2 linked regions of the Diceros bicornis minor genome follow. The protein of the gene in region 2 interacts with the protein of the main gene of each other region in a biochemical or structural test. Links are inferred from orthologs where the notes say so. Each region holds a gene or a part of one and is shown on either strand. Other genes may lie near its edges.

The links.
Region 1: the proteins of SPTBN2 (region 2) and ACTR1A form a complex in vitro, tested with the Homo sapiens proteins (2 studies listed by BioGRID). The link is inferred for Diceros bicornis minor from reciprocal best matches to the Homo sapiens genes SPTBN2 and ACTR1A.

Annotation. Positions count from the first base shown.
Region 1 is NC_080745.1:67,456,937-67,468,779, reverse strand, and holds the start of ACTR1A (alpha-centractin), read left to right. Parts: upstream 1-6,913; 5' UTR 6,914-6,980; coding exon 6,981-7,028; intron 7,029-11,843. Other genes in the region: SUFU (suppressor of fused homolog), read right to left, coding at 263-397, 4,543-4,724. UniProt on the Homo sapiens protein: Part of the ACTR1A/ACTB filament around which the dynactin complex is built. The dynactin multiprotein complex activates the molecular motor dynein for ultra-processive transport along microtubules.
Region 2 is NC_080770.1:6,657,627-6,668,782, reverse strand, and holds the start of SPTBN2 (spectrin beta chain, non-erythrocytic 2), read right to left. Parts: upstream 4,325-11,156; 5' UTR 4,321-4,324; coding exon 4,304-4,320; intron 1-4,303. UniProt on the Homo sapiens protein: Probably plays an important role in neuronal membrane skeleton.

The sequences.
Region 1 (11,843 bases), on a different chromosome or scaffold from region 2:
CTCAAACACCAGAGCAAGCTTGGAAAAACCTGATGGTTTTGGAACTCTTGCTCATCATTGACATTTTCCTGCACCAGATAAGCAGAACTCAGGTGCTGACCTGGACAGACAGAAGCAGAGGGCAGAAACCCAGAAGTTCCACCTGAGAAGTGCCAACCTCACAGGACTACGACATTAACACCCCTGCTCAGGAAAACCTCAGAAATAAGGTTCAAGGTGAAGGAACGGGGAGGTGGAGGGTGGGCAAGTGGCACACACTCACTCATGGACCCTGCTGTCGCCATAAAGATCACTTAGGCCGAAGCTGATGTAGTGCCAGTGCTCGGGGATGTTGGCAGAAGGGCTCCCCATGTTCCTGTACATGCTGACGTAGTCCAAGGGGTCTGGGCCACCCAACCTGCAAAAGACAAAACAAAAGGGTGAGCCTGAAAGCAGACAATGTGAAGCTAAGGGGCTCTGCCTTACAAAGCTAAAGGCCCCATCCTGGAGGAACCTGGGGCAAAAGATAACTAAAGGGAGGCCACACCTCTCTGGGATAAGACCAAGGGATGGGCAGCTGGAGTCTGCCCAATTCCACAAGCACAAGAGGCTCCCTTCTATCCCCAACAGGCAGGCTTCTTTTAGAAATAAAACAGACCAAGTGGTTGCCCCTTTTGCTTCTTTCTGTTTCAAATTACCAATCCCAAATGGGACTGGCAGGGATTATCTCTCCTCCATGGTTCCTGTAAACACACCAAGCATCGAGGCAAGAGGTGCATCAACCAATTGGCCTCTGTTGAAACACCATCCTGAGCATCCCCAATGGGCATTGTTCCAGCTAATTCCTGAAAGACTAGATTGTGCCCTATGTTAAATACAGTTTGTTCTAAACAAACCCAATGCCTCCAGACCCCAGCCCACGCCCCATGGACTAAAGCTAGTCTTTTATCACGCGAGTGACAAAGGCCAAACTTAGGCTAGCTCAGCTCTGCACAGAGAACTGCAGCAGGAGCCAGGCTGAACCCTGCGAGCGCCTGCATCCGGAAGATGATCCCAGGAGACTGCCGCCTCAAAGGTAGAGCTGAAACATTAAATGATTTGGGGCCTCTGTGGACCATGTTAAACTTCCCCCATAATTCCAACAGAGAGGCAGCTGAGGAAGAGATTCAGTCATTATTTCACTCTGAGGATTTAATTCAATAAGGGTTCCCTTTAGTAGAGTAATTAGCGCTCTTTAAAAAATATCCTGCTTTTCTTCAGAATGGATAGGGAAACTTGGTAGATTTGAGAAACAGACTAAATGGAAACCATCAGTGGAGGGAAGTCTGCATTTAGCCCACAAACACTCTGCATTTGAGATGCCTTGGCCACATGACTGTTCCACAGACTGTAAAAACTTTGCCTGCCACTGGGACATTGATGGAGTGTGCTTTGCAATTGGGATCGTATGCTGAAAAGACGTTAACAATCAAATAAAAGACATGTTACATGTGATCCCAGCAAGCATGACAGTACCATGCAATTTAAACACTATTTAAAACCAGTAGGTCTGGTTTCATCCTCTTTTGCCAGAATATTATTTGCCTTTGTAGAAATCCTTATTCTCTGCTAGGAAACGCTAAGTTATTTATAGAACTTGTAAGAAAGTCACTACAAATAGCTTAGAATCTCAACAGAGTGGATTAGGAAAAGGGGCAAATCTCCATGTCTTTCCTTAACTCTGATTTTGCCAAATCATTTGACTAATTCCACAACCAGTTAGATTTAGAAAAGTTTGTCAGGGGAAAGAGGCAAGAAAAGGGAAGCTCTCCCAGGAAGGACCCCATGAAACTGCAGAACTCTGGAAAAGATGGGAGTGACTGCAGGCTTCATATCCGCTCCAGCTTCCTGCTGCATATTCTCAGTCTTGCCCCTCCCTCAGCTGAGGTCCATCCAGCAACAAGTGGCAAAACTATGTCCACTCTTCCATGCTCCATCTGTGACCTCACTGCAGCTCTCTTTCTGGCCAAGTCTCCCAGGAGGTATTGCATCAAGGAGAGAGGCTTTACCTTAAAACCCCACTGCAAAGAATGACCAAGAGTCAGACAAAATTAAGCTAGTCCCCAAGCACAGACTGTAATATTCTACTTACTCAGAGACCTGACGGGAAGCAGACGAGTATACAGAAAATAATCATATTTTGCACTTAGAGAAAGATGTTATTCAAGGACCCAGAGCATCCCTCAACTTAATTCCTACAACACTTAACTCTGCAGGGCAGGTACAGGACTGGAGTGGCCCCAGAGCACAGGCTCTGCCTCTCTGCTTCTGCTCCCTGCTCACTAAAGTCTCCGCTTTCAGCCAGGATGTCCCTGCTGGCCAAGGACCACTAGCCAAAGAGCCACCCTTCTGTTGCAAGAAAAGGAATCCCAAGGTAACCTGGCCCACAGCCAGACCCAGGCAGCCTCAGTCTGTCATCCTGCCATGAGAACTGAAGAGGCCTTGTGGGACTCCAAATGTGAGGGATATCAATGAATTAATTTCAGGATCTTAATTACGCAACCCCCTTTGAATCTTAGAAAGAATCATTTGCTGAGCTGTCCCCTCTTACGTTTTTCTTCATCTAGGCAGCATTTCTAATTTCACAATCCTTTTTAGTCATCATTACATGCTGGCCCATCTCTGGCCTTCATCATTCACCGAGTCTAGACCATTAACAAGTTTGCAGCAAGAAGAAGAAAAAAAGTTGCCCAAACCAGTCTTAGTCCTTTGCACATGCTTCAATACCTTTTACACACAACTCTATCCTTCATGGCCAGTTGGGTGACATAAAAACAGTTGCCCAAGTCCGTGTAGGGATTTCTCCCTACACTCAAATGCGGCCTGAAAAAACAGTATGGCAGAGGCAGGCCCACTTTTCTCATGACACAATCCAACAGAGTTCATCACAATACATATTTAAATATAGAGGTGCAATTAGAATGGGTGATTAAGTTATCAAGAGCTGCTTTTCACTCAGAAGCTCTCTTCAAAAACTCCTCTCAACCAAAGAACAGTGTGCTTGCCAGAAAGAACTGTACCACTGGCCACACCTCCTCCGGCTACCAGACAGAGACAGGCTGCTCCTCGTGGCCCTCCCTAAGCAGCAGGTGGCTGGTCCTCAGGCCCTCCACACTGTCAGCCTCTTCACATCCTCCCATCGACACAGGGAGCTGGCCTCAGCCCTATCCAGCCTAGCTTCTGCCATCTCTGGAGGAAGTAAGAGGTTGTCATGTAGGAGAAAGACTCAGTCTTAAAGGGAAAGGTAATCAGCAAAGACATCCCCTTCATTCACTTCTACCTTGAGTCTACCTACCCCCTCTGCCACAGGCCAAGCAGATACCTGAAAAGTCTTCCAGGATTCAACAAAGGGACCATCTAATACAATGCTTGCATGAATGTGGTTCTGGACAGATTCAACCAATTCTTGTCAACTTTTGGTCCAGAAAGACCATGAAGACAGGCTCTTTTCCAGAGTCCCCACAACACCTGTTTTGCCCAGAGGCTGCAGGAAGAGACAGGTTGCAAACAGGAATGAGAAACTAGAAAAGACCATTCCTACCCCAAGGGCAGCCCATCTGTAAACAGGTCTAATCCTTAACAGAGCTACTTGAGGGTTACTCTCAGCTTCCCTGAGACACTGCTGCCTAAATCCTAAAGTTCGTGGCCAGGAAGTTCCTCTTAACATCACACTGCACTTCTTTCCTCTTTGTCTAACTCCCAGGTCTTCATCATTTACCGAGGTCTCCTTCAATCCTGACCCAAATCATGGATCTCCCTGACCCTGCCTGCCTCTGTTCTAGCCAATGACCTAAAGCAAAGCAGCTGCAGAGCCAGAGGAAGCTCTGCATGGAGAAAGAGAACTGTGCAGAGTAAGCAGAAAGTTTATCAGGAAAAGTTGCCCGGTGAAACTTCAAACGCAAAAGCATTGCACTGATATGATGTCTGAGCTCACTGGGAAGTATCAAAACGAGACCTCCTCCTCATCTCTTCACAAGCACGACGCTCACAGCTTGCTCCCCTCCTAACCCACAGGAGAGCCCGGGTCCCCAGACCGGCCCCAACCCTATGCTGTCTCGTGCCCTTTGAGCTCCTCCAGCCCGGCTCCTCCAAAGCTCTCTCATATGCTCCCCAGGCCCCGCCTCGCCTCCCTCATCCCGCTTCGGCCGCCCCTCCTTGGCTTCCCCTCGCCCACTAATGACCCCCTACAGGCGCCCCCTCCTTTCACCACGTTTACAGTTCCCTCTCTCCTACCGTTCCCCTCTCAGCTCCTACACACACCCCCAATTCACTTTATTCTCCTAATCTCAGTTAACCCTTCAGCCTTCCCTCCTTCGTTAACCCTTCGCTACCCACAGGCTCCGTTAACCCCTTTGTCCCCATTCGCAATTTGAGCCTTAACTCCTTCCCTCGCAGCAGGAAGCCCTCCTTCCAGTGCTTTAACCATTCTCTGTCTCCTCCTCCAACCTTGCAAATTACTTCGCCCCCGGCGCTTTAACCCTGCCCAGCCCGCCCCTGTCCGTCTCCCCGCGGCCCAGGGCATACCAGTACTTGACGATAGCGGTAACCTGGAGCGGGTTTGGCTGGTCAGGGTAAAGGCGGCGGCACTCTCCGTAGATGGCGTGCAGTCCCGGGGGGAAGAGCGAGGCGAAGGCCGGGGGGGCAGTAGGGCCAGGGGCCGGGGGCGCGGTGGGGCCGGGGGCGCCACTAGGCCGCAGCTCCGCCATCGGGGCGTGTAGGACGCTGGGGAAGCCAGGGAAGGCGGACGAGGCGAGAGCACTGACGCGCCAGCGGCGGACTCCGTGGGTGCGACTCCCCGAGGCGACGGGGGCTGCAGCGAGGTGTAGGCTTCGCGCCTGCGCACGGCGCACCGTCCGCCCTGGCAGTCGCCGCCGCAGAGACCGCCAGAGGGTGCCTCGGCGGCCGCGGGGCGCTCAAGGGGGCGGGGCGCCGGCGCGCCCTATCCCAGCATCCATTGGCTAGTGTCTGTGCCAGTCACAGGTAGGGAAGGCGTGACTTGACCATAGGTCCCGCCTCCCTCTGCCTGCGTTTGGGGTGTCCCAAGGCTCTTGGCCTCCCCCTAGTGTTAGGAGGAACCTAGACTTAAATAGAGATGTTGCGGCATGCTTCTGAGGTGCTAGGGTCTCACGAAAGCCGTGGAAAGTGCACCGACGAAAGGCTTCTCACTGTTTTGCTGACACGCTGCTAACAAGGATTTAAATATAAATCTGACAATAGATTGATTCATTCGTCCGTGTGGCATTAGTTTTATTTTATTATTATTATTTTTTTTTGTGAGGAAGATCAGCCCTGAGCTAACATCCATGCTAATCCTTCTCTTTTTGCTGAGGAATACCAGCTCTGAGCTAACATCTATTGCCAATCCTCCTCTTTCCCCCCCCCCCAAAGCCCCAGTAGATAGTTGTATGTCATAGTTGCACATCCTTCTAGTTGCTGTATGTGGGACGCCGCCTCAGCATGGCCGGAGAAGCGGTGCGTCCCTGCGCGCCCGGGATCCGAACCGGGGCCGCCAGTAGCGGAGCATGCACACTTAACCGCTAAGCCACGGGGCCAGCCCCTGGCATTAGTTTTAATAGATAACAAATCTGAACGTTACCTACCGTCTTTGAATGTCCATTGACTATATCGACTGACACTAACACCGCCAAATTCAGGGGTCATATTTTGAAATACCTATTTTGGAATTCTGTCAGAAAGTAACAAGAGTTAGGTAAACTAGGATCGATTAAAAAGACTTGGTAATTATTTAAAAAATGCTTTTAGTGAAGATGACAATCTCTTTTTTCTTCTGTTTTAGGCAGATGTCTGCAGATTACTTTGAGGAACATCATTATCTACTGTGGCCTGCCCTTCCCCATTACCTTGGCTCTCTGTAACTGGAAAAAAAGTTAATTTCGAAGGCACTGAGTTGGGAATTACTTTCCTGTTTACAATAACTTTTCATATAGTAATGTCTTCCACTCAATGATCTGGAAATTCCAAGAGAAAGGGATAGAAGGGAGTCCTGCTTACCAGTACTATTAACTAAAAGATCCCTGCAGCTTGAAGGCGGGGAGGAAATAATCTAGAGAAGAATGCACTGGGCTCATTTGAAAGCAGTGACACATAACCTCTCTTCACCTCCATTTTCTCGCTCATCAATGTAAATTCTAGCTCCCCACGAAAATTAAAGAGATAGAGCAGTTTCTGAAGTTATTAGATGAACGATGTTTTAATAGCCAAAAAATCATCTATACCAGTAGCTTCAAATGCCAGTCTTCGGACCAATGTTAGCCTGTTGCAAAGTTCACACCTACCCAGGAAAAACGCGAAAAGCAACAAAAATGTACCGTTTTTTCTAAAAAGCAAATTTTATGCAATTTAAATTATTTTCTTTTGTTCTGGCAATATGTCCTTTCCCGTGTGTGTGTATTAAAATTTCCTTTAGTCGAGTGTGATGGCGATAGATTTTTATTAATGTCTTATAGACCCAAATAAAAACATGGCAATCTTATATCGTCCAGGGGAAGTGGTGGGGAGTGGCAGGAGGGATCTGTAAAATCCAAATATGCACGAATTACTGACCAATCCAAACCGAACTACAGACAAGTACTCAAGAAGACTACTTTCATACAACTTTACATATTTCAGCATGCACTGCTAATCCCTTCAAGCGGATTACAGATCCAAGCAAGCAATACCCCCATCAATCGGCATCCCTGTCTATTATCAATGGAGACTACAAAGCCCAGGGTACTGTGCGTCAGAAACGCGACGCCCCGTCTCTTAAAGCAGGCGGGGCTCCGAAGTTGCCTGGCTCGCTAACCCTGGTGCAAGGCATGCTGGGCTTGTAGTTCTTCGGAGGCGAGGTCGGGCCGCTCCCTGCCGCCCTCTACCACCGGCTAGACTGCGCATGCGTGTCAGTGGCGTTAGCAGCGGACCCGGCTGGCAGTTCCTTCCTCGGAAGGAAAGATTCCTCTGCCATGGAGTCCTACGATGTGATCGCCAACCAACCCGTCGTGATCGACAACGTGAGTTGCGTCTTTCCTATCTCTAAAGGGACGTATGCTCTCCTTCCCGAAGGGATTGCTTCCCGGGTTTCAGCCCGGGCCGCCGGCTCTTTGTCACTGGCCCGGCCTGTCAGGCGGGTTCAGCCGCCGCCGCCTCCATCCACCCCACCCCCACCCCCCAGTCCGCAGGCAGGGCGGCCGGCCAGCAACCGTGGGATGGAGAACTTGGGGATGGATAGAGGGAAGAGCTGTAGTGCGGGCCGGGTTCTTGGGCCGTTGGCTTGAGGGGCCTTAACCGATGTGAGCGCCCGGCGCCCATCCCCTCCCCGGTTTCCGATAACTCTATTGGCTGCTCTGGCTGTCCATCTTGACTGATGACCCCGCCTCTGGGCCTTGCCGGATAAGGGCAGCCCTCTGCAGTGATTGGCTCGCGCCCCTGCCATTTTTCCGGGCCGCCATAGTGTGTCCCCTCTCTAAGGGGCGGGGCGATGCACGAGGGTTGTGAGGATTGGTTTCGGGATCGCCCGGTGTAGGGGCCTGACGGGCTAGGGCCTGCCCGCGGGTAGAGAAGGGGTAAGTTTCCCTCTGTCTGCAGCTGGCCGGAGGCTTGGCGGTGTATCTGGGTGGGGCCCGAGAATCTGGTGCGAAAAATAGCCATAAGATTTCAGTTATTTCTGTGATTATAAATTATAACGTGAATAAAGGTCGAGAAGAAAGGAGAGTGACAAAGCAAGCAGGGTGATACCTTCGTCTTCGGAACGCCTAATTGCTGGGGAAAAAAATTACCAAACATAACATTTGCCAGGCGCTCTAGCGCTGACGTGGGTGGGGGGAGTGCACATCCATTCGAGTGGATCCTCACAAAAACTGGGTGAATGGTTAAGGCAGGACGTTTCATCCTCGTTTTACAAATGACAAAACTGAAGCGCGAAGAAGTCTAGTGAGCCCAGGGTCGCACAGTAGAGGTGCCCTAAATCCAGTGCTTTATCCGTTAGCATCAATAGTGACAAATGGAAAGAATCTAAATACTGCTCTTATTTGGGGCGGAGGGGGACAATTGTAAAACAACTGTTTTACGTTTCTGTCTTCCACTCAAATGTTTGGTCCCACCGAGATTGGTTGATACCTTTTCTGTGCCTCTTCTAAATGGCTCCATGGAGGCAAAACTGCCTATTCCCTGTCCGGAGCTGACTGTCAGATGCCCTCTGTTGACCCAGCCCTTGGGACATCTTAGGCATGTTACAAGGTTGTTTCATTTGCATCACCTCATTTAAGCGTCCGGTAGGTAGATAGGAATTACTACCCCCAGTTTATGCAGGAAAGTGAAGCTTGGAGAGGTTTAAATAACAGTATTCAAACTACCTGGTTTATGAGTTGAAGAGCCAAGACTTAAATTGAGATTGAGTTCCAAGGTCCTCACTTTTTCCAAGGAAAGGTGCTTTTTTTGTTGTTAGCTTTCCTTCTCTCCAGGGGTATGAGGTTGAGCTCAGTGACACACCTCATTTTGGGGAGGACTTTTTTTGTCTCTCTCACTAGACTATTAAATCTTTGTGGGAAAAGATAGTATTCCTTCGTTTTTCATTACTCTCGTCTTCACCTCACTCTACACACACACTACCTAGGTCCTGGCACCACTATGTGCTCAATAAATGTTTTTTCATTGGATTGATGGGTGAGTGGATGAATGATTGAATAGCTTTATCACATTAACAAAGAAGTCCCTAAATAAAGAGAGGTTGGGGGTGGGGCGGAGGACCCTAGTTTGTTATGGCAGAGGGTTAGGTATAACTGCTGGATCTTGATGTTGAATTTCAGAGAACACCACTATCTCTGTCTTCAACCAGTTTGTGTGTGCTTCATCTGCCTTTTTTGTTTTAAAAAGAAAATACAAATAGAAATTAGCCATTTCCTGTTTTCATCAGCAGTGCAGAAGGAACGGTCTGTCCATCCCACCAGATCCTCTGCTTCTTGAATTGTTTGGAAGGAGTAGTTCCATCTCCAGCCATTTTCTTTAATGTCACTTAAGCAAATGCTTCTTAGTCTCTCCTTCCTCTCTCTTGGTAGTGTATTTTGAAATGCATCAAATCAGTGGTGAATTTTCAGTTTTAAAATTTAAAGAATTGACTTGTTTTTTCTCTGGGACAACATTTTCTTTTTTTTTTTGTGAGGAAGATCAGCCTTGAGCTAACATCCATGCCAATCCTCCTCTTTTTGCTGAGGAAGACCGGCTCTGAACTACCATCTATTGCCAGTCCTCCTCCTTTTTTTCCCCAAAGCCCCAGTAGATAGTTGTATGTCATAGTTGCACATCCCTCTAGTTGCTGTATGTGGGACGCCACCTCAGCATGGCCGGACAAGCGGTGCGACGGTGCGCGCCCGGGATCCAAACCCGGGCTGCCAGTAGCAGAGCTCGCACACTTAACTGCTAAGCCACGGGGGCCGGCCCCTGGGACAACATTTTCTTTATTATGCCAATAATTCTGCCAAAAGGTAAAGTAGGAGAAACTTAAGTAATTTTCCCATTAGGATTTACTGAGCATCTGCCACATTTTTAGATTTCAGGCCTCAAGTAGTTCTTGCTGTTTGACATTTATAAAGTTTTGTTTTGTTTCAAAGTGAAAAAGGGATAGGAAAAATCATTTGAAATATTTGAGCCAACTTTATATTATAAGAATAATATGTCTCTACCAGATTTAACAGCTCCATAGCTTAACATGTTGCTACAATTTTATTTTCTGGGCTAAGGAGACTGTAATTAAAAGAAAGGAGAACAAAGAAAGCAAAGAAAAGAGGGAAGAGCCCCAATATCAGTCCACTGCCTTTCCCAATCTTCAGACAGTTGTTGACCATTCCTTTCATCCTGTTCTGGCACCAAACCAATTCTCAGAATTTAATGAGGAAAATGGAGGGGTGTCTGTGCGCGCTTTAATGACAACAATAAAGTGATAGGTATTTTTAAAAACTAAACATAAGTCATTCTTCCCAAAGGCATATCATAGATAGTAATACAAGAAGAGGGCAGCTCCTAAGCCACATTTTGCAGACTATAACACTTTGATCAGAATACTGTGTTTATTCTGAAGCTCAAATCTTTGCTAAGATCCCAAAGCCTAAGTTCTGTCCTAAAATGGATCAATATTCTGGTCAATCTTAAAACTGTCTTTGTGACTATGTGGGCCTAAATACAGAAACAGTATTAGATCTTTACAAGTTCATCAATAAGCTAAGAGTTTCACTCTTTTGGGGGGATGTTATGCTGCTTTAGCCCCCTTTTTAAAAAACGAGATACTTTAAATATACAGAAAAGTTCAGAAAACTATATAATAAGCACCCACGTAGCACGTGTCTACCACCCAGATTTATTTGTTTTGTTTTTGTGAGAAAGATCAGCCCTGAGCTAACATCCATGCCAATCCTCCTCTTTTTGCTGAGGAAGACTGGCCCTGAGCTAACATCCCTGCCCATCTTCCTCCACTTTATGTGGGACGCCGCCACAGCATGGCCTGACAAGCAGTGCTTCAGCGCGCCAGGGATCCAAACCCGGGCTGCCAGCAGCGGAGTGCGCGCACTTAACAGCTACACCACGAGGCCAGCCCCCACCCAGATTTAATAAATGTTGACATTTGCCATATTTGCTTCAGATTTTTTGCCGGGGGGAATAAAGCATTACAGATATAAACGAAGCCTCTTTGTACCTCTCTACAATCTCGTCCTTTCATTCTGTTCCGGAAGTAATCCCAGAAGCAAACCATCATCATGAAATTGATGTGCTCCTTTCCATCCATGATTTTATGGACATACATATTTTAGTGTGTGTGTGTGTGCGCGCACGCGCGGGCGCCCGCGCGCGCAGTATTGGTGTTTCGAATTTTTACTTAAGTGCTATCATCTTATTCACTAGCTCTTATTCTTTTTATTAGAGAAAATTTCAAATATAAATAACAGGAGAGGGAATAGTATAACAAACATCCACATATCCGTCACCTACCTGTAGCAGTTATCAGCTCCTGTCCAATCTTTTTAACCACATTCCCACCCACTTCCTGCTGCCACACTCTTTTAAAAACATAATCAACATACTATTATCAAAACCTAATATAATTAACAATAATTTTTTTTGTGTGTGTGTGAGGAAGATTAGCCCTGAGCTAACATCTGCCAATCCTCCTCTTTTTGCTGAGGAAGACTGGCCCTGGGCTAACATCCACTCCCATCTTCTTCCGCTTTATATGCGTCGCCGCCACAGCATGGCCTGACAAGCAGTGCGTCGGTGCAAGAGCGCACGCACTTAACCGCTTGTGCCACCAGGTCGGCCCCCAGTAATTCTTTAATATCATCAAATATCCAGTCAATATTCCAATTTTATTAATTGTCTCAATTTTTTTTTCACAGTTTGCAGCTCTTATAATCTGCTGATTCACTTAAGTTTAAGGGACACTAGAATTAACCGAGGAGATGAAGTCAATATATTTAACACTGTCACTTGCAATGTGATGTTCAGGCTATTTGTACAACTTCAGCAAGAATCCATTCCTAGCTTGATGGAAAGGGTGAAGAGGAGGTGACTTGTAGAGAGAGCTCACTATTCAATTATGTGTATTTTGAGAGCCAAGGATGTGCATCACACCAAGCTAGGTGCCCTGAGGGTAAGAAAGAAACCAGATGTCATGTGGAAGGAGAAACATCTTGAATTAGTTGCTGGGAATTAGAGGGAGGAAGAGGGTAGCCTTAAAGACAGTGTGAGGAATCTGGAAGCTGCATTAAGCATGCCTGACCAAAGGGCCAACTGCTTTTCATTTCCAGCCAGCTGTCCCCATACAAGAATGCAGACCCAGT
Region 2 (11,156 bases):
TAGTACCCCTCAAATGAAAGAGATTTTAATCCTTAGCACTACCTTCTACGGTTGTGCTACGATCTTGGCAGTTTCTGGCTCTGGAAAGGGGGTAGGGAGAACCTTCTGTGTGGTTTTGAGGAAGGGAGAAGGGGTAGGTGGTGAGATGTGGGTGGGTAGGGAGGGCACACCAAGGCTGAACTTGGCTTCTGTCATTAACTGGTTCCCTGAAGCTGAACTTGACCCCTGTGACAGTCAGGATCACCTGCCCCTCCTCTTTCTCCCAGAGAGAAAACACGCACAAGGATTCTTCTGCATTGATGAGATGCGAGGGAGCTAAGGTGTAAGGTTCCCAGATTTGGGCTTTACATTCCCTATAATAGGAAAGAGAGCTTAATTCCACTAGGCCCAGGACTCCTTTCTCATTTGAAATCCATCATTTCCCCTAATCCCCAACAGATTCTTTGAATTTGCCCTGTAAATATTTATACAAAAATAAATTCTAGGGCAGAGTTGAATCACCCTGAGCAAAGAGCGCTGTGGGCGAGGCGTGACCTGAACTAGTGTCACCTAATACTCTCAGCCACCGGACAGGGAAGCACCTCAAGCCCCAGGACCAACTCTAATTCCTTTTCTCTCCACCCTTCAGCTTAGGGCTTCCTCACCAGCAGCCATGCTCACGCTGAGCTCTGGGATGGACACTTCCAGTGGGATGGAGTCATACTCTCCCTGCATAGACCTCCCCACTAGAACTCCTAGATACAATGCCCCCTGACCTTTTGCTTTCACAACCATTTTCCTTTTATCAGGAGTCACAAACCTATTGAACCTGGCCCCCAGGAGTGTGGCCGATACGCTGTTTAAAAATAACTGGTTCTGGATTCCCTTAGGTGGGCCCATGCTTTCCATTTCTCTGCAAGCCCCACCATTCCTTTTTGTATCCTCCCCAGCCATATCACATATTTCTGTTACCTGCCTGGCCCCTGAAGGCCTCTGAGGTTTTCAAACCCTGCTTTCTAACTTTGTACTCCACAAAGAGCAGAAACTTAAAGAAACAGATTGTCTGACCCTGTCTCCAAACTACTGTGTGTCCCTGGGGCCCCTGTAAGCGGCACAAAACCTGAACATGTACTGTTTTGCCTTCTTTTTGGTGATCAAACTTGGTCCTTCCAAGGGACCTACTGGGGCCCAGGCATGGGATCTAGACATCCCAGTGAGGTCTGGCTGCTAAAGCCTCTCCTTGGATCCTATAATTTTGGGGAGAAAAGTATGGAGCTGGAACCTCCCCTTCTCCCAAATAAAAATTCAACCACTTAAATGCTCCTCTGACCAAATCATACATATTTTGCATCCTGAGTTTCCAGAGATGCCTGCCATCACATGGATAAGGAACCAAAATGGCACTGGTGTCTTGAGATCACAGAGCCCCACAGGGCCACCAGGTTGGGACTCCAAGGAGTTTATTCCCATAGACTCGCACATGAACAGTGCTGTCTGGTGTTATTCAGCGCAGTGGTTCTCAGGGCCTCTGAGTTTTGGTTTTCAAGCGTTTGGGCTCTGCAGCTTCCTGACCTTCTGGACAATATGCTGTGTTCTCCATGTTCCCTGCTGCCATCTCCAGATTCCTGGAGTTTCCCATTTGAGTTTCTTTACATAGATCTGTTCTAGTTTTTTCTCATTCAGTACATCATTCCTCACTATGATCTGGGTCTCCATGCTCACATTTCCTTAGTCAGCCTGCCCCCCAGCCCCAGGACCCCCTGTCTCTCTCTGTGCTGGAGAATCATCAACCTTACTCTCCTCCGTGGATTCCTGAACTCTGGCAATAGGACGGGCCAGCAGCTAATCCAGATTACAGTTTCACCAGCACCTTATTCTTAGCCACTGACCTCGGGGCCAAGCCCAAGGAGCTTACATTGGTCCTGCTAGAATAAGGCCAACCCCCGCCAGCTGCAAGCTTGGGGTCCTGCTAGATTTCACGCCCAAGCGCTGTGGGATGCAGACTCTGCTCAGCCGCGTGCCAACCCTCAGGGGCGTCTGCCCCCCTTCCCTTTTCCTCTGATTTAGCTGGCGTGTAAAGCTAGAAATACTATCCCCCGGGCTAGAGCCTGTCATGTACCCTAATTCCTCCTCTGGCCACATCCTGTTCCTGATTAATTCTTTACCTCCCTCGGAGAGAGTTGATCATCCCCTCCCCTGTGCTCCCAGAGCACTTCAGCAGGCAGCTATTAATGCACTTATCACATCGTATTATAGTTAGTTGTTTATGTGTCTCTCTGCCTGCTCCATTTTTAACCCGTTGAGGACAAGGGCTGTGTCTTACTCCCGTTTGGGTTTTTCAAGCCCAGTACAATAGGTATTCAATAAAGAGATATTGAATAAATAGACCATAACTCATTTTTTGGCCAGCAAATTAATCTTTCTTAGTGCTAGAGAAAAACTCAAGGAAAGAACGAAAATGGGATTAGAGAAGACCCTCTGCTCCTCAGCTGGAGTACTCTCAGGGTTGAGCTGTGTTGTTCAAGATCAGTGATTCTCAAATTTGCATGAATCACAATTACCTGGAGGGCTATTAAAACACAGATCACTGGGCCCTGCTCCCCAGAGTTTCTGATTCAGTAGATCTGGGGTGGGGCCAGGGAATTTGCATTTCTAACCTGTTCCCAGATGATACTAAAGCTACTGGTCTGGGGACCACACTTTGAGGGCCACCATTGCACAAAGATGAGGAGCAGTTAGAATCAGCTAGAGGAGCTATGAGGACTAAGACACAAAGTTTCAGGGGTGAGAGCGACCTGAGGTTAGCTGCTGGGTCTGCTCAGACTCTAACCCAGGCTAAACTCAAATATAACTTCCCCTCGGAAACCCCAAGACCCACAAAGAGCCTCAGGCGATGAGAGAGGAAACTGAAGATGGAGCAGGCTCTAGATCTAATGAGATAAACAGAGCTGATGTCCGGGCACAGGCGAGTCACAGATGTGTGGAAGGAGGACGATATGGCTAGAGACGCTATGGGGAGGCAGAGTTGAACAAATGACAGCAGGCGGAATAATAGATTAGAAGAAGCGGGGACTTTGCCAAAGTAAAAATCTCATTTGACTCAAAATATGAGTGGACTGGCAGAGAGAGAGGAAAAAGAAATCACAAATAAACTCAGGGCTCCCAGGAAGGAAAAAGAAAGATGCACTCAGGGCAATCAGAGAACCCACAGGAGAAACAAAACCCCAACCCGTTTCCCTCAAGGCTGTGTCCCTGATAAAGCACAGGAACTCTCCTCCAAGAAATTTAGGGACGGGGCTGAAGAGTGGGACTGAATTTTTGTTTGATCTTCTCCTTTAGAATCCTCCACTCAGGGCAGAATTATTCAGACTAATTTTCACCCCCTTCCTCACCCCCTCCCCCAAGTGTTTAACTGATGAGTTACATCAGTTTCTCTAAGGGACAAACCTAAGATCTATATTAGCTTTTTCCTCCCTAATCCTTTGCTCTTCTGAATATGTCAAGAGGTTGCCCAACACCTCAAGCTAAGACCCGTATTTGGAACTCACTCTGCCCGCTTCACCTTCAAGGAAAACTGGTTTGTGGATACCCTGCCCATGCAGGAACCGACCAGCTTCCAGCGCTGGAATCGTGGCTGCTCCAGGAGGGGAGCAGGGCAGCTGAGAAACAGCTCACGGGAGACAACATGTAGCAGGTTAGGAAAGGGGCAAGCGTGCATCTCATACAAGCATGCAATGCCATGGGACTAATGGAGTAAAGTCGTTCGGAGCCAGAGTGGATGGTAAATGCCGACTGAGGTGCTGGAGTTGGAATAACCTAGGAGGAGGCCTTGCCGGCAGTTCTTGCGCCGGGCGGTCTCCAAGCCCTCTGGATATCCCAGCCACAGAAACACCTTACACCGCCAGGTCCTGACCACCCGAAAGGGCTTCGTTCTCCCTCTGCCAGTGTTCTGGTCATCACCGCCAACCGTGTGCCCCTCACACACACACTGTGAATTTGCATAAAGGAGAGCTAGCTACCAAAGAAGCGAGAAGAAGCCCACTCGGCTCCAGAGGGAGCCCTAGCAAGCTCCCAAGAGGAAGCCGGGCGCTCGCAGACCCCGGCAGAGACCGCCGAGCGTGTCCTCAGCACCTGGACCGGCGCCGGTCGGTCCGCCGAGGAGCCTCCGCTACGCGAACAGCCGGCGCTGTCAGACACGCTCCGAGCCCAGCCGACCCGATCCCTTAACGCGTTTGTCAGCCCCAACTCTTCCAGACTCTTCTCTCAGCTCTGGAAAGGCCCAAGTCTCCCAAGCCTCGACCCCCCACCGCCGGCACGCCGGTACCTGGGTGGCTGGCACATGACTCTCTCCATCCTGTCCCCGGGACCGGGCGGGAGCGAGGGCCAGGCGCCGCATCCTCCCTCCCCGGCTCCACTGTTCGGCCTCGGCCCCGGCCCCGACCCTGACCCCGACCCAGCCGCCCGCACGCGGCTGCACAAAGCGCGCCGCCCCGCCGGCCCGGACAAAGCGGCCCGGGCACCGGCACCTACCTCGGTGCGGAGCGCCGGCCCGGCAGGCGGGATCGCGGCGAGCGGGGGCGCACCGGTCGTCGCCGCGCCCGCAGCCCCGCCGCGAGGGGCGGTTGCGGGCGGCGGCAGGTGGCCCGGAGGCGGCCGGGCGCACGGCGGGCGGCAGGCGGCGGGCGGGCGCTGTCACGGGGCGCGAGCGGCGCGGGGGGCGCGCGGGACCGGCGGCGGCGGGGCGCGTGGCGGCGCGCGGGCGCGAGCGGCGGGACTGCGGCGCCGCGGAAGGAGGACAATAGCCTCCCCCTGCCGCAGGCCGCCGGCTCCCGCGGGAGGTCCGGGACCATCTGGAGCCCGCGGCCCCGCGGGGGTCGGGGCGGGGCCCGAGTCACCCCCTCCCCGCCCGGCACCATGGCAACCGCGGCCCCTCTCGGTTCTCCGAACAGCCCCCCGGCCCGGGGTCGCTGACCTTCCCCGGGGCGAACGCGGAGGTGGCTCCGTTACCGGCTCCCGACCGCCCCCCACCTTCCCTGCGGGTGCCCCCGCTAACCCCGCCTTCCGGTCCTCGCCGGCCCCGGGTCACCCCCGGGCCATCTGGGTACCCCCCACAGCTTGCCGGGCTCGGTCTTCTCAGTTTGCGTACCCCACCTTTGTCCCTACTCCGCTCTTGCTCCAAAATCTGTATCCCCGGGACGCGAAATCCTTCCTTGAATGGCACTCACCGCCCGGAAGGTTTCCCAATATCCAGCCTCTGTTTTCCTTTTCAAATTTTCCTCTTTGGACACCTCCAGTCCATCTCCCTTTAATCATTTTTTTCATCCATCCCTTCTCTCTCGCGTCCTCCCTCAAGCAGGTAGGCCGGCTCTCTTTCCCGGAGCATCTCCATGGTACATGTGGTGGAGATTCGCCTTCTGGCAGATCAGATTCTCGGAACAGTCATCACTGCAGCTCTCTCGGCTCCTTCTCAGCTCCTCTCATTTATCAACCAGGAGAATTCCGGCCTACTCACTGCCTTAAGAGGGAGTGGGGGTGGGGTGGACATTTCTAGGCCTGGCACAGCTGGGTTTCTCCTTGGTTTGGTAGCGTCTGAATGGTCTAAGGTCTAAGGTCATTAACCACGGTGAACTGCTATCTGCTTAGGAGAGGAAAGAATTATGCCCAAATAATAACAAAGTTATAGAGTGCCAGGTGGGTGCTAAAAGTGCATGATCTCCTATGACCCGCACCCCTCACTCCAGCTCTAAGAGGTAGGTACTGTTCTTCCAGACTAGGAAACTAAGCTCAGAAATGAACTAGTAATAATAGAGTGGGCTTTGTACAGAGCAGTCTGAATTTAACCATTAGGTTATTCTGCCCTTGAAGATGTGGGCCTCTTTTTACCTGAGAAATGCCTGAAATGGCCAAGTAAGGGCAATGTGAAGAATGGGCTTTGTGTGAATTATTGGGCTTAAAGTTTTATGTATTTACAGGTAATCAAATTTTAGGATTTTGCTCCTTTCTGAAAAGGTATGCATACTGAAACTAACATATAAGCAATTGAAAATACTTTCCAGATATGATTTTGGCAAGGTGAAAGCGCTTGTGTTAAACCCATTTGAAAACATTTTCAAGGTAAAAAAAAAAGTCCTGCTACCACTCCTAACTCGTTGTGTCATCTCAGTTTTCCTGGCCTCAGTTTTCCTAGTCTATGAAATGGGTTGGGAGAGGGGGTGGGGAGTTGCACTAAAAGATGACCTAGAAGTTCTTTTCTAGCTCTGATAGTCTGATTCCATCACTAAACTGGAACAGTGATTCTGTCACCAGACTGGAACTTGGCCTTCTAGGGTACACTTCACCATTAGCTGTAATTCAGGCTATTTATTACTTATTCTTTAACAGTCATTCCTTCAGGCAACGGAATCAAAGTGAGGGCATAAGCTGTTACTGTTCCCAGCGGTAGTAGTGAGTGTGTTCAGGGGGAAAGGGGACACCAAGGTATGTACACCAAGGAGACTTGGTCAAGGATGTTAAAGCTGATAGGATGAGAAACAGCCAACTAGCTGCTGCTGTACTGGTTATGGGAACCGAGGGTCTCCACAACCGCCTATTGGACTGTGATCCAATTAGAAGACAAGCATATTAAGTCTATGATTAGCATAATAATAATATATTTTGTATAGTGATTTCCCATTTCAACATTTCATAATCCTTTTAAAATCGTCGTAAGGTAAACATTATCATTCTCGTTTTATCGATGAGCAAACTGATGTTCAGACACCTAAGTGAATGCCCAAGTTCACAGAGTTAGTTCATAGTAGAGACACCAGGACTTCTGATTCCTAATATGTTCTTTCCCCTCTGCTAGAGAGGGAATATAGCCCAGTGGATAAAGGCTTCAGTTTTGGAGTCAGACTCCTTGGTTTAAAACCTAGTTTTGCCACCTACTAACTGTTGACCTTGGGCAAGTTCCTTCACCTCTGAAGAATTCAGTTTCCTCATCTTAAAATGTATCATAATGTGTGGGGACCGAATGAGTTATTGCAGGTGAAGTACTAGAACAGTGCCTGGCACATAGTAACACTCCACCAGTGTCAGCCATTATTATTTTACCATATTATCATTTTACCGTACTGTTTCCCAATTTGGGAAGGAAGCATGCTCAATAAAGAGAACACTGAGATCCCTTGTCTCAGCTCTGTTACCGAGTTGCTTTGGAAACTTGTTATTTTGCTCCGTAGTGCGTCAGTACAGTCGATGATGAAGAAAACGTCTGCTTCCTTTTTACATAAGTTACAAAAGTGAATGGAATGATGTTCCCAAGTATGCTGAGCTTCTCAGAGAATCCAGATTTGCTGCCTACGTTACCAAGATTCACAGAAAGGTCTTTGTAGGACTTCCAGCCACCAAACCTACAGATGTAGCTGAATTCTCAGCTCTCATTCCTATACCATGGAAGAGCTGTCCCTCCTTCTGAGACTGATTCTTCTGGCTCCTGCCCTAAGTGCCATCTCCTCCCGCAGCCTCATGGCTCACACTCCTTCTGGTGAGCTCCCTCTCTTCTGGCTCCTTCCCATCAGCATTTAAACATGCTCAAGTATCTGCTAGCTTAAAAAATAAGTGAGAAACCCTGATCCTCCTCCATGTCTTGCTCATAATCTTTATGATCACAATCTTCTTGAGTCACTTGAAATCATTGGCTCTACTTCCTCACCTCTCATTCATCAAACATTCATTCAAAACCATCCGGCTTATGTGTCAGGCACCACGCTGGACCTGGGGATCTAATGATGAGTAAAATGGACACTGTCTCTATCCCTTTGGAGCTTACAGTCTGGTGGGGTTGACAGACATTAATAAAATAACCCCTCAGATAGATAATCAGAAAGTATAAGGAATGAAAAGTTCAGGATACTATGTGAGAGTTTAACAGAGTCATAACCTGGTTAGGGAGTTGGGGGGTCAAGGGAGACCTCCCTCAGATAATTTGAGTTGAGATCAGAGATATGAGAAGCATTAACCAGGCAGAGAATGGGGTATAACAACAGCAGTTACTACCATTAATTGAGGACTATATTTCTTGCACTTTACACGTATTGTTTCATTTAATTCCTGTAACAGCTCTAAGAGGTAAGTATTAGCCCCATTTTACAGAAGAGGAAATGGAGGCCTTGAGAGATTAAGTGCCTTGTCCAGGGTCATTGAACCAGGCAGGGGTAGAGCTGGGATTTTAACCAAGACAGTTGGACATTTGAGCTATGTTCTTAGCTACAGAGACACAAAGCATGTGGATACCAGCCCTGATGCTGTAGGATGCATGGTGAAAGGCAGTGGGAGAGAAAACAGAAGGCAAGAGCGAATGTATGGTGAATTCTAGCTGGGAAGATAGGCAAGGGCTAGGTCATGCAGGGCTTACTAGGTCATTTAAAATTTTTTGGTTTTTATCCTTAGAGCCCTGGGAGGCTATTGAAGGATTTAAAGCAAGGAAGTGAAGTGATCAACTTTGTCTTTTAAAAAGATTACTCCAGCTGCTGTGCGGGGAATAAGTTGGAGGAGTGTGCAAGTTGATGTAACAAACCAGTTAAGAGGCTACTACTGTGGTTCAGGTGAGAGAGGAGATGGTAGCTTGAACTTGGATGTTGACAGTGGAGACAGAGGAACATATAGGAGAAAGAATTGACAAGATGTGGTGATGGTGATGGGTTAGATACAGAGGGGATGGTGAGGAAAAAGGGTTTGTCATGGACTGGGCAACTAGAAGAATGGAGTTACCATTTGCTGAGATGAGGCAAACTGGAGGAAGACCAGGTTTGGGTGGGGAGAGTGTTGGTCTTGGAAGCTGCTGGGTTTGAGATACCTTTGAACCAATCAAGTGGAGATATTGAGTGGTCAATTGTGTCTGGGTTTGGAGCTCAAAGAGGAGGTCTGGACTTAAAATATACATTTGGAAGACAAAAGTGTAGAGACAGATGGTAAGTGAAGGGGATAGATGAGCATTGATGCAATTGATTTAATCCAATACAACTTCTACTCCTCTAAAGCAGCTTTCGGCAAGGTCGTCAAAAATCCTATTGCTAAATACAGCGTCAATTTCCAATTGCTATCTTCCTGTTTCTCTTGGCAGCAATTGACTCTAATTATGCCCATCTTCTTGAAATTTTCTTCCATTGGTTTAGGGTTGCCACACTCTCCTGGTTTTCAACGCTTGTGGTCCCTCCTTTGTGTCTTTTGTCAGTTGGTTTTCTGCTTGTCACTTAATTTTGTTGCTGTTATTGTTGGTGGTGTTTTGTTCTAGGCCCTTTTCTCATTCTATGCATTCTGCCTGGGCTGTCTTATCTATCACACTGCAGCTAGAGTAGCCTTTTTAATGCAAAAATCTGACAGATCACTCCTCTGCTGAAAACCCTTCAGTGGCTCCCCAGTGCCTTTGGGATAAAGTCCAAAGTTCTTAACAGTTTATACGCCCTGCTTACCTCCTTACCAGCCTCATTTCTCACCACTCCTCATTGACACTCTATGTCCTAGACATAAGGAACCTGTTGGAGTTTTTCCAATGTTTGTGGGATTTTGAACATGCTTTTCCCTCTGGCTGGAAACTCTTCCTTTTCCATTCACCTAGGTCTCAATTGAGGTGTCACTTCCTCCAGAAAGCCTTCCTTGGGCTCCAACTCTGGGACAGGGGCCTTCTGACAGCCGTACTCCATACCGGATCATCACTGGCCATTGGTTGTGTTCCCTCTTACAGCGTGAGCTTCGTGAGGGAAGAGAATACATCCATTTCACAGTTGTATCCCCAGCACAGCAGACACATAGATATCTGTGCAATAAATTAATGAATGACAGAAAAGACCTTGGGGAAGAAGCTGATTCCTTGTTGTGAATAGATGAAACTAGATGTTTTTATATCAAAGACTGCATTTTCCATTTCTTTTACCCCTAATCTACACCCCATCACTAAGCAGCAGCAAGCACTTTCTAGATGCACTGCCTTCTGCATAAGGATGATACAGAAAAATCACAGTCAAATTCTTGGCTTTTGAACTCTTAACTAGACCTTTTAAAATCGATTGCACAGAAGATGTTCTTGAAAGTTCCAGTTTTTAAATGGTTAAAGCCAGGTTCTTGAGAGGGATTTTTTTTCTTCAGAAGCTTCCCTTTAAATATCAAGAGACAGAACCTGAAAGACGTAAAGCTCAAAGTTTATGCCATCAACTGTAGAATTGGGAAGAACATGTGAGTTTCCCCTCCACACAGAAAATATAATAGTTTTTGAGCTTGGAGCAGAACTGAAAAGGACTGGAAAAGGAGAACAAGAGAGGTTAGATGCAACTGTTTTCTGTCCCCACCAGCAAACAATAGTAGACAGAAGGGGCTTATGCTTTGTTTCACTCCTGGAACTCTGAGAAGACACAGCCTTTCAAAGTACCCTGTGCACAAAGCAGAAGTGGCATTGTCACCTGTGTAGGCAAAGCAGGTCTGAGATAAATTCCAGCTCCTCATCACCCCCAGCCTTCTCACTCCCTAAGCCCAAGTCTCTCTGGCTCCTTTACATTTGGAGGAAATCTGAAAAGTTCCTTGGTGTCCAGCCCCTGAGAAGAGGGTGAGGGTGAGCTGAGAACTGGGTACCAGTGGGGATTGCTGTGAAGTGGGGAGCGAGAACCCCATAGCAGAGGATGAGAGGTGCATGACCCATGCCACGGACCAGAAGGAGGTATAGTAGTACCAGGAAGAGCTGAGGTGGGAGCCACTGAGCTCCCCATGAAGCAATCACTGGGCTTTGTCTATATCAAGACCACAGGTTCCACCGCCAGGGAACCTGGCTGCAGCAGATGCAGTGATGGTGGAGCCCAATGGCCAAGACCAAGTGAAGGAAGCTACACTTGATCAGTTAGGCAAGAGAGACAGAAGATGGCACTTGGCCTTGAAGCCCCTTCCCTGATGTCAGAATGATACATAAACCCCACACTAGAACATTGTGAGGAGAAGGGGACTGGGAGGAGAATCCTAAAAGACTGAGTTTAAAACTTGAAATGACTGAGTTGTCTTGAGTTGGTGAGATTTATTATTTTTCAGCTATTAGTAGAAATGCGGGCTGAAGAGCTACATTGAGAAATAAAGAGAATTACATATTTCCTCATCTGAGTCTATGACTTGAGATTGTAAACAAGCCTGCTGTACAAGTAAAGGTCAGAGAGGTG